Bombyx mori: one gene and its partners. The protein of the gene in region 3 purifies or fractionates together with the protein of the main gene of each other region. This does not show direct contact. Links are inferred from orthologs where the notes say so. Each region holds a gene or a part of one and is shown on either strand. Other genes may lie near its edges.

Region 1 (3,657 bases), on a different chromosome or scaffold from region 3:
CACAATAAGATATCGGTTAAAATCAAATTGAATAAACTTTGTAGAAAAAACCTGAGATAAAATATGAGAAATATCAAGTCCCTAAATTATTAAACTTAAATTTCTATCATTTTAGATTATCATTTCTGTTTGGATTTTGATTATGCTCATGTTTATAAGTGGTCTTAAAAGGACTTTATTTGTAACATATTGACTAGAGCAAGCACCATCACACTCCTAGGCATAAATATAATGACACCACATCAGTATATTTCCTTCATATATGCAGATGCAGAAGTTGGCAGTGGTGATAGCAGTGATGTTACTGAGCCTGCAACGCCCGAAGAAGATGACGATCCCAAAGAAAAGGGGAAGTTGAAACCTAATGCTGGAAATGGATGTGATCTGGAGCACTACAAATGGACACAGACGTTGGAAGAAGTAGAGGTGAGTCATTGGTATTAAATTCAGTACCATAGAGTTTATTCAGTTATTATCCATTCTCTACTTAAATATCCGGATGCCTCCAAAGAACACTACTCTAACTCAAAAATTTGAAATTTTCGTTTTTCACGCAAATCGCTTCACTATGTTAAAAGTATTGCAATTAATCATTATTAATGGGGTTCGAAGCAAGAGTAAATCAGCTAGCTACACAAAAAAACCATAAATATATCTGCAATAATAAAGATTTTATCAACTTTTTTCGTTTAAACGCTCCTCCTGTAAATCTACGAATTTGGAGTTAGCGTAGTGTTCATTGGAGGCATCGATCTAGTAAAATGCTTATTATATTTTTAAGAGACTCAATGGTGAATAAACATTACATGCTTCGCTGTACATGCATAACTCTGTATAAACTAATAGCTGTTGATACATGCACACTGTCTAACGTGCGGTCTTTCTATTGAGAGCCGTAGATATTTGCAACACAAAAAACCTAGTTTTGTGTGCTGTGTTAGTTCAAGTTGGTGTTAAACGTTTACTGCAATGAAATGAATTGAAAATTTCATGTGACCGCCACTTTTGAGACATGATTTCTAAATCTTAATTGTATTGAATACCTAATTTATCTTATTATCTAATTAGGTACCAAAATACTTAATACACTGCTGTGCTTTCTAAAGATACTAGTCGAAAACTACAGCGGAGACACAGCAGAGTACACTACTTTTTCTTTACATAGTTCAAATCAAAGACAAATTTGTATAGTGTACAATAGAAGAATACAACAGCTTTCTCCTTTACTTTTGATCATACAACACGTTTGTTTACCGAAACGTCTTTAGCTACTTCATCGACAACCTTGAAATCTCAATTGCTTTAGAATAGACTACACCCTAAATAATTTACGAACTACTCACGCCCTGACGGGTAAGTCGTACGTTGTACTCGTATCGAATTCGAATATACCACATATTTAATAAAAACTAGATGATGACCGAGCTTTGCTCGACTTTTTTTTTTGATAACGCCATCTTGTTGTGTCTATAAAGCGGTTATTTGCCCACAATAAAAAAAAATAGTATTATTATTCGCCGACAGATGTCGGGAAGAGTTGATTATTGAAAACACGAATAAAACAACATTTTCTGAAAATAAATCGTAGCTAGATCGATTTATCGCCCCCGAAATCCCCTGTATACTAAATCTTATGAAAATCGTTGGAGCCGTTTCCGAGATTCAGATTATATATAATAATATATTAATATACAAGAATTACTCGTTTAAAGGTATAACATATATTATCACAAATTTCTTTTCATGATGAAGAAAATTGAGTCATAAAAATCGAAATTGTTAGCTGGCACAGGTATCTCTGGAGTATTACTACGAAAATTTGTCACGTTTTGTAGTGTGATGGCTGGGACAGCTGTGTGCTCAACCTATCGGCAAACGTAGGGGCTCTGTTCAAACTCCATACAAATTTGAGTTAACTTTTACTCGATCGAGAAGTTAAAAAACTCGCACTAAGCACACTGCTGTGTGTCTGTGGGTCTCGGGCGGTGCCGTTTGGGTTGTGATATCTATGGGCTTGGTGAACCAGACGAGCCTTGAAATCCCCCAAAGGCAACAAATAAATACTAAACCAGCCACATTGATATTTATCTCATCTAGAAAAAAAAAAAATTTTTTTTCATCGCTTAGATTGGTCGACGAGCTCACAACTCACCTGGTGTTAAGTGGTTACTGGAGCCCATAGACATCCACAACGTAAATGCCGCCACCCACCTAGAGATATGAGTTCTAAGGACTCAGCGTAGTTACAACGGCTGCCTCACCCTTCAAACCGAAACGCATTACTGCTTCACGGAAGAAATAGGCAGGGTGGTGGTACCTACTCGGGCGGACTCAAAAGTGGTCCTCACAAGAGGTAAGAACCATTATCTGCTACTTAAAAAAACAAATTAGTTTGAATAATAGTTTATTTTGTTTCATTATCACAGTTCAAAATATGTAACAAATTCGTGTTTCATTGTAATCGTTGTTCACTTGAATATCAATTAATATTACATAAAATTACTACATTCGCTGGCGAAAATTACATCAAAGTTGCAGTTTTTCATGAAAATTACGAAAAAATGCAAATTTTATTTTTCAGAACATTGATGCAAATGCAGTGTCGTTACTAAAATTACTTATTGCTTAAAAACTATTGTGGTATATTAAAATAGCTTGAATTTGAGATACAATTAGACTAATCGTCAATATGAATAAAATAAACTTCTAACAATTTACACTAATAATAAAATACCGTGTACATCAAAGTTTAGACTAAGATTAAATTAATGAAAAAAAAAACAACTAAACTTTAAGTTACAATAAATAATAGGCTTTTTCTAATTTTATTTACCTAAATTCCAGTAAACTGGATTTTTATTGCACTAATTCATGAAATATACGTAGTTGCTTATATAAAACAAAACAGCTTGTTGAAATTCTGAAAGAATATAGTTCACAATATAACGAAATTTTTTTTTTCAATTTAAAACATCGTGTATCAAAATTATCTAAACATTTGCTGTTAAACTACGACCAAATAGTAACTAATAAGCTGGTAAAAACTTCAAAGTTCTGGTCTTCTTTGAAACTTATGAATATTTGTACATGCCGGTCTCCTTGCGCATTCGCACTGAAAAAAAAAACAAGACATTAAAGTTAATTTGCATTACTGAAAATGAGTTTATAGAAAATAGTTTTTATTTAATAATACTCACTTTCGACAAAGCATATCGCTGCCAGTATACACGCAGAGAACAATATAGTCATCGTTATCACAAGGACGGTTATCTGGTGCGAGTGATTACAACAGCAGGATTTGTTCTCCTTGTTCGGACATTGCTTCGTATAACCATTTACAACTGTGAAGTGAGTTGAACTAGCTATAGAAGTGGCGTCTTGGTCGCGCGAGCATTCCGTCTTCACGCCACTCCAAATGGATTCGTTGTGATCGTGTGGCTCCTCGGGAATCGCGACCACTGCTTCTGGAAGAGCGTACTTGCGTTCATAGCCGCCGAACTTGCTATGATACGGACCCAGCTCCTCAGTGTTGCTGCTCCGTCCACTCATGCGTGCCAAGTGAGCCGCGCTGAGTAACAATGAACCCGACGAAACGCTCTGAAACAGTGCAAGTAATTTTCAAATGATACCTAAAGGCCACATGTTATTTATTAGTAG
Region 2 (4,276 bases), on a different chromosome or scaffold from region 3:
CATAAAAGGTCTCGGTATCTTACAACTGTATACCTTAATTATTTATATTACTACATGTGTTTATCAGATATTTATTTTATTGTCTGTTCAAATTTATTAGTAACTTAAATGAATAAATTCATGTTAACTTGAGACTTCAACTTTCATGTATCAAGTGGGGTAGTGGTATGGTGTTATGACCTCTATATGCTCAGGTATAGCTGTGACTATGAGAGTTCTTCTGACCAGATATCCTCCACATAGCAACAAAAAAGGTGCGTGTACTTATGTACGCGCGTAAGAAGTTATACTTTATTTTTATTAAATTTATTTCTTTTTTTTTAAATTAAATTTTAATCAATTTGAAAAAAAATGGATTAAACAACATCCTCAAACACGCATGTTGGACATCCCTTTTCTTGACATCGTATAAATTCGGTAATTCTCGGTCCGGTTCGGAAAGTTCACCTGCGGCTATATTCAGACTCGCCAAGTTACATAGGTCGTATTGTAATGAGCGATTTAGTGGGCAACTTCATTCTGTTAATTTTGTGTCACGGTGCGCGCGCATCGCATAATTTCACTCATCAATTTTTCATAACGCGCCTAAAGAAGTATAACTTCAAAAAAAATACACACACACATTGAAGACAACATTATTTTTTTGTTTAAATTTTGTGTTGCAGGTGAAATTAAAGGACAAGTTTATACATCCGAAGACCAAGAAGCATAGTCTTTGTTACAGCATTGTGTATAGACATCTAGAACGTACTCTTACACAAGCTGAGGTAAACAAAATTCATAAACAAATAGAAAATGCAGTGGTCAAAAATTATAATGTAGTCATAAGATAGTAAAAAATTTAAAAAGTGTTTATTGTTTTCATTTTTTATTCACAAATAATGTTTAACTTTCCTGTTTTTAATCCTGTTAAATTTATCTACCTTAAAATATAATGTTACTTTGAATATTCCAGCACTGAACTTTGTAATTTTTTACATTTGTCCAGAGAAGTTTTCTGTCATAGCATAAACAAATAGATTAATAATCAGTGAACGTGTAAAAAACTCAATATAAAAGACAGATTAGAAAAAAAAAATACGCATAATATTATTAGTTCTAAGAGACCATAAATAAAGGTCTATGTGTGTATTTAAATTATTGCTATTGTTGCCACTTTTTTTAATTTACAGTTTGTTAAAGTAGTTTATAAATGATGATATATTTTGATATCAGTGTACCAGTTACCTATTTTAGAAGTCTTGGTCTGGCATGGTAATTTTAGTGTTTTAATAATAAAGTAAAAAATATTGTATTTGTCATTTTACTTTGATGTTATTTTGTAATCCATCTTTTTATTTCCATTTAATTCACATATCGTATGAAAGTCATTGGGTTTGACCTTTTATTGTTATTAGCTTGGATTGACTATGTTCCTTTTGCCTACTCAATAGGACAAATAAAAAACATTATGTATACAGATTATAGTACAAGATTCATAGATTAACTAATAATTCTTATTTTTTTAATTTAAATTATTTACATAACCTCAAAGAATATGTACTACTAATTGAGACTTGCAGAATTAAGTACAAATCATAACATTATTTTCGATGCAGTTCCTGAATTAACTGTGGCTTACAATATTTCGTTAAAAACGATGATTCGTAAAAAAGTGTTTCATTTAGCTCAATTAAGTGCTATCGGCTTGACTGGATATTATATAGGACAATGCAATGGTAAAAATACTACTCAAGATTGTATAGAGGTCGATGGTAAACTCCTGACGAGCTTACCAGCATTGCCTGTGTTCGGAACTGTGTCTGCCGCCGTGCCATACACTGAAAGTGGTGGTTCGAAGGACACAACTAGGGTGATGAAGCCTTTTTCTATTTAATTAAAGAAAACTATCTAATCTATCCCTATATTTAAGCATAGAAAATAAAATATAATTTCTTAATATTATATAACATCAATTTATTATTAACATAATAACAATTTGGTGTCTAGTTAATTTTATTATATAATGGAATGTTGATAAATGATGGAACACTTTCAGGTATCTCAAATAATGAAATATGGCTTCCCCGGCCTCGACAATATTCGTTCATATGATGATTATGTGTTGTCTTACGACCGTCGCACCAGGGTACCACACTGGGTTTTTGAACATCTAACAAAAGCACACATTGCCAAAAATGATCAGGTTGATAGGAGTAAATGTGACTTTATGCCTGATGAAAGTATACATCCATTCTTTAGGTAATAAATTAAATAATCCAAATATAGATTTAAATTTTTGAGAGATATTGAGATATTTGTATACTGGATAATTTTCTGAGAATTTATAGTATTAGCCAACACGGGTAGCTGCAAATATACCACTTAATGTTTCACAGCTGCTATAGATCATAAACTACAGCCAATAACAGTACATACTTTGAATTACAAAGCTGTTGTCCCATTGAAATTAGCCAATTTACCAATCCAACCTAAATGCTAAGAGAATTATGCGTGGGATTCAGTAAAATATAATGGATTTTCATTTATATTGCAATAGATTTATTCTACTAATAACAAATGTTGCAGATCTTTAAATAGTGACTACAAAGGATCTGGTTTTGATAGAGGTCATATGGCTGCGGCCGGAAACCACAGGCTCGCACAGAAACATGTCGAACAAACCTTTTACCTAACTAATATGGCTCCGCAGGTAGGTATCTCTCACGAAGTATACAGTGATTAAAATTTACTTAGTATTCAATAGATTTTCTAACAATATAGTTACAAGATTTTCTTACAATAGACAAAAACCTTCTGAAACGATGTTTATTTTAAGAAGTAACCAAGGTTTCGGAAGTAATTGTTGGAAAATCATTAAAATGAAATAATTCTGTGGTAGACTTCAGAGCTTTAATTTTTTTAGGTTGGGGAAGGATTCAACAGACATGCTTGGAATAGACTTGAGAAACATGTTCGTAAATTAACCAAATTGTATGATCACGTATATTGTTGCACAGGACCATTGTATCTTCCGAGGTAACAGCACTGTATAATTCTTTAAATGGCATTTGAACATGCAATATTTTTTAATCGCTGTGGGATTTGCTTTGCGGATTGCTCAGAAGCTCATCTTGTGTTATTTAGATACCAGTGCTCTGAGATACTCAATGAGAATATCATTATCCAATTCAATCATATTACATCAAGCTACTTACAATGTACTAATGGCTGTCTTGCCATTTAAACTGTAAGTCTAGAATAGACACGAAGGTAGTGACAAAGCTAATGGTTTCATAATAACAGTAATGCCCTTTATGACATCTATACTAATATATAAATTTACAGTGATTTTTACGGATGTTCCATTATAACTACTGAGCCATGCATCCGATTGACTTGAAACTTGGTATTAATGTAGAAAATACATGTACTTAACGGATAGGCTAATATTTATATGAGTGTTGGACTCCCTACACCAGTTGCGGGGGCGTTAATGATGAGAATCTTTGTGGGGGTGAGAAATAAAAATGTTAATTTTAAATGCCCAGCGAAGCGGACGGGTACAGCAAGTAGCTCATAATAGTTCAATAACATAGGATTGACAATAAACATTTTTCAGGAAAGAATCCGACGGTAAATCGTATGTTCGTTATCAAGTTATAGGAGCAAACACAGTGGCGGTACCAACTCATTTCTACAAGGTAGTCGTGGGCGAGGCTCCAGATGGTACACTGGATATGGAAGCCTATGTCATGCCCAACCAGAAGATACCTGATGAGACACCAGTGTCTTCTTTTATGGTATGTCATGCATTTTAAAATTGCTGAAAGATGTGGCCCTTCACTCTATAGCAGTGCAACCAACAAACTCTCCATGTTAGGATATTAATTGGTTTAATACCTTTCAAATCTGTGTGCATGTTTACTTTAGATGAGTAGACAAGCTCACAACCCAGCTGGTGTAAAATGGTTACTGGAGCCTACACACATCAAATATTGTCACCCACGGACACATGATGTTGTTGTAACTTCAATTATATTTTATAAGATGTGCTCACCCTTCAAACTTGTTTGTATGACTATGTAATGTATGTGGTGTCTATGTAGTAGTGATTATAAAATAATATCCAAATTGATTGATTACACGGCAGTATTCATAAATTGTGAAATATGGTAATGAACTGTGAAAACTTCCCTAGAATTTGTACTCTATTTGAGTTATGCAATGAATATCAACACAAAATAAAATTTGTTTTTAGGTGCCTCCAGAAACTATAGAAAGGGCGGCTGGATTG
Region 3 (3,810 bases):
CGTTCAATGTCCGACTTTCATCACTATCAAGAACAGAGTAAAATGTAGACACGATAACCAGTTTATTTAGGTAAACAATATTTAAAATAAATTAAGTTAGGTTTAGAAAGATTAGCCTCATAAAAATAAATATTAAATAAAATAAAAAAACGTGCGGTGAACAGTTAAGGAAAAGTCTTGCAAACAAGTTCTCGAGATAATTTCCATTAACCTCGAAAAGGCGTTCGACCGAGATCTGCGACACCTTATCTGTGAGCTTAGCTTAGCTTAGCTCCATAAATACATGTATTTTTATATTTCAACAACGTAAATGCCTTTACTAGTGGTAGGACCTCTTGTGAGTCCGCACGGGTAGGTACCACCACCCTGCCTATTTCTGCCGTGAAGCAGTAATGCGTTTCGGTTTGTGGGCACTTAACACCATGTGGGCTGTAAGCTCGTCCATCCACCTAAGCATTAAAAAAAAAAAAAAAAAAAATGCCACCACCCACCTAGTTCTAAGTCTAAATGTAAGTAGTATCAGTTAGTTATTCTCCCAGTGGGTAGTGGCATTGATTGAGATTATATTTATTAAAATCATTATTGCACTACGAATATTTTAATATAATTTCTATATTATTCTTTAATATTCTTAACTGCTTCCTATGCCAACTTTCTCAGATGTACAACATAAGAATTTGGATGGCTTATTTTATGATAATGTGTCTTGGATAACCTCAGAGGAAGTTAAGAGAATATCTGTTTTATTAATTTCATTTAATTATTCTTTTCGCATATCAGGCACGGCTATGCCTTTAGTTAGAAAATATTGGCTGTATAGGGTATATTTCTTGTGCTTTTCCAGATGGATGTGAAATCACGTTTACAGAATCCAACAACTAAGGTCTAAAGATATTTATTAGGCACAATAGCATTATATTTTCACAATTATTGAAACTTTTAAAATTTTTTGGTTGGTGCTTCGGTTTTTTCTCTAAGGTAAAATAAATTTTATGTATTCACTTATATGTTAGTGTATTCGTTAACATTACAAGTGAAAGTAAAAGAATGTAAACAATTTTATTTTATACCGACAAATTTTTTCATTAAATATTTCTCGATTTGTGTGTTCGTATTTTGATTTTGAAATTTTTTATTTTTATCATAAGGATTTTGTAGTAGCGACAAGATGGGTTTAGTGCTACTACAGGCAGTCATGAGCGATAAACCAAACATTTGACGAATTCGAAATATATATTAAAATTTATTCTGTTTGGACCATGGACAAAATATCGATTTTATGCTATGATTCGAATTGTCAAAACGGCACAGCGCGCCTCTCTAAAACAAACCACCTTTTTCTAGTTGTCATTTAGCTAGGATTTCAGAATTCTTTTAATCCTCTACATCACGGGAAAAAATGGCTGATAACAAATTATACGAGATTTTGGGCGTTTCTAAAAATGCCAGCGAATCCGAAATTAAACGAGTAAGTTTAAATTCGTATTATTTAAATATGTAAACCATCACACACCGATTTCGTTACAAATTAATGCATGGTTACGTTTATTCCATTGTCTCGTTTTAATATTTTTTCAGAATTACCACAAACTTGCTAAAGAGTTCCACCCGGACAAAAATCCTGCAGCTGGTGATAAATTTAAAGAAATAAGTTACGCATATGAAGTGTTATCCGATCCTAAGAAAAGACAAGTGTATGACTTATACGGGCTCAAAGGACTACAGGAAGGCGGCCAAGGAGGAGGGTTTCCGGCTGATGAAATTTTTGGTAATTTCTTTGGTAACCTCTTTGGAATGGGTGGGAGTAGAGGATGTGGTCAAGGCCGTGGTCCAGTCCGTGGCGAAGATACCATGCATCCCCTTGCAGTGACATTAGAAGATTTGTATGCTGGGAAAACTACAAAATTGCAGCTCAGCAAAAACGTAATTTGTGCCCACTGTAAAGGTGTGGGAGGAAAACCAGGTTCTCTTATATCTTGTAAAGATTGCCGTGGACAAGGAATTAAAGTGTCATATCAACAAATTGCACCACACATGACTCGGCAATTTCATTCACGCTGTCCATCCTGTCTCGGTCAAGGTGAAACATTTAATGAAAAAGACAAATGCTCTAAATGCAAAGGAAAGAAAGTTTTGAATGAAACAAAGATTTTAGAGGTGCACATTGAAAAAGGTATGAGAGACAATCAAAAAATCTACTTCAGAGGTGAAGGAGACCAGCAGCCTGATACTGAACCTGGTGATGTGATTATTGTGTTACAACAAAAACCTCATGAAAAGTTTAAGAGGAACGGAGATAACTTAATAATGAAGCATGAAATCACACTTACTGAAGCATTGTGTGGTTTTGAATTTGTTGCTAAACATTTAGATGGAAGAGATTTGCTCATCAGACATTTACCTGGTGAAGTTATTAAGCCCGGTGATGTTAAATGTGTACAAGGTGAAGGAATGCCTATCTATAAAAATCTTTTTGAAAAAGGAAATTTCTATGTCAAATTTGATGTTGTTTTTCCTGAAAATCATTTTGCTAATGAGGAACAGTTAAAACAAATAGAAACTATTCTGCCCCCACGTCCTGCTTTTGTTATGCCTACAGGTGAAGATGTAGAAGAGGTTAATCTAATGGATTATTTCACACCTAGTGAAAGTAGCAGAGGCAGAGAAGAAGCCTATGCTAGTGATGATGAAGAACACATGCACGCTGGCCCTGGCGTTCAATGTGCTCATCAATAGTAAAATTTGTTTTATGTGCAATTCAAATTTACAGCAATTTATTATAGGTAGTGTAATATAATTTTACAGCACTTACATTTCACAGATATTTAAAAAAAAAATACTGTGCTAACAAGGGCTGAATTGTAATTCTTGCAACTTTATCCTTTTTATTTTTTGCAATTTTTCTGATTCTTGCTTTTGTCAGATGACCAACAAAATTTAGATAAATAGTTGGATTTATAAAAATATTTACCTTACGTAATAAATTTAATCATTTTTCGGTTTTGCATTTTCATCAAATCTCTCATTTTTTTATTGACTAGAAATAAAATCTAAAAAAGGAATTGGTACTATTAATAAATGAAAAAGACAAAACAAGGATGTTATATATTGTGTACAAAATAATTGATAAATATCAATAATTATGGACAGTGAAGAGCTCTCACATACATTATTTTAATTTTTCTGTTCTCAAAACATGACAGCGCTGAAATGCAAGTGTTTTATGTAATTCATTCCAGGGACATTGTATGGCTGAGGCTAATTATAATTAAAAAAGTAAATAATACTTGTGTAAATTTCTTTCGCACTCAAATTAAAAACATTTACAAGATCAACTGGTTTCACAGATACAATTCCATTACCTTAATACTACGAGACAGTTCAAATTTGTGGCATCTAGTAATCATTATTTCAATCAACCTCTTTTTTTATAATTGCCTTTGTAGGCAGATGAGCATATTGCCCACCTAATGCTAAGTGGTGACCGTCCCTCATGGACGTCAGCATTCCCTGCCAATCCAAGTCTGCCTACCATGGAGTACTCTCCGCAGGCCTCGTTTGAAGGACATGTCATAGCGCTCAGGAAAACTGGGAAACACGAATAATTCCTCAGAGCTCTCCCCATGGAAGATACGGTAAAAAGACAGAGAGAACCGAAGTCCCTCCGCAGAGTCCAGAAGTTCCAAGCGATCCGCGAGAACGGGACTATTGACAATCCGAATGGCCCGTCTCTGTATGGAGTCAAATGGAAATAGCTGGTATTTGGGAGCAGAGGTAGGATCCATCTGAAGCCGGACCTGTGCTTTGTTG

What was found.
Region 1: the proteins of DnaJ-1 (region 3) and nuclear migration protein nudC purify together in Homo sapiens (affinity purification with mass spectrometry; 4 studies listed by BioGRID and IntAct, with this or other methods). This does not show direct contact. The link is inferred for Bombyx mori from reciprocal best matches to the Homo sapiens genes DNAJA2 and NUDC.
Region 2: the proteins of DnaJ-1 (region 3) and endonuclease G, mitochondrial purify together in Homo sapiens (affinity purification with mass spectrometry; 3 studies listed by BioGRID and IntAct, with this or other methods). This does not show direct contact. The link is inferred for Bombyx mori from reciprocal best matches to the Homo sapiens genes DNAJA2 and ENDOG.

What each region holds. Positions count from the first base shown.
Region 1 is NC_085128.1:8,581,900-8,585,556, reverse strand, and holds part of nuclear migration protein nudC, read left to right. Parts: intron 1-268; coding exon 269-426; intron 427-2,391; exon of another isoform or gene 2,392-3,071; coding exon of another isoform or gene 3,072-3,112; intron 3,113-3,197; coding exon of another isoform or gene 3,198-3,597; intron 3,598-3,657. Other genes in the region: uncharacterized protein LOC101746542, read right to left, coding at 3,072-3,112, 3,198-3,597. UniProt on the Homo sapiens protein: Plays a role in neurogenesis and neuronal migration. Necessary for correct formation of mitotic spindles and chromosome separation during mitosis. Necessary for cytokinesis and cell proliferation.
Region 2 is NC_085126.1:6,520,460-6,524,735, forward strand, and holds the start of endonuclease G, mitochondrial, read left to right. Parts: upstream 1-1,461; 5' UTR 1,462-1,639; coding exon 1,640-1,852; intron 1,853-2,038; coding exon 2,039-2,241; intron 2,242-2,568; coding exon 2,569-2,692; intron 2,693-2,905; coding exon 2,906-3,018; intron 3,019-3,601; coding exon 3,602-3,782; intron 3,783-4,240; coding exon 4,241-4,276. Other genes in the region: probable phenylalanine--tRNA ligase, mitochondrial, read left to right, coding at 666-833. UniProt on the Homo sapiens protein: Endonuclease that preferentially catalyzes the cleavage of double-stranded 5-hydroxymethylcytosine (5hmC)-modified DNA.
Region 3 is NC_085110.1:7,563,897-7,567,706, forward strand, and holds DnaJ-1 (DnaJ (Hsp40) homolog 1), read left to right. Parts: upstream 1-1,372; 5' UTR 1,373-1,399; coding exon 1,400-1,468; intron 1,469-1,578; coding exon 1,579-2,736; 3' UTR 2,737-3,286; downstream 3,287-3,810. UniProt on the Homo sapiens protein: Co-chaperone of Hsc70. Stimulates ATP hydrolysis and the folding of unfolded proteins mediated by HSPA1A/B (in vitro).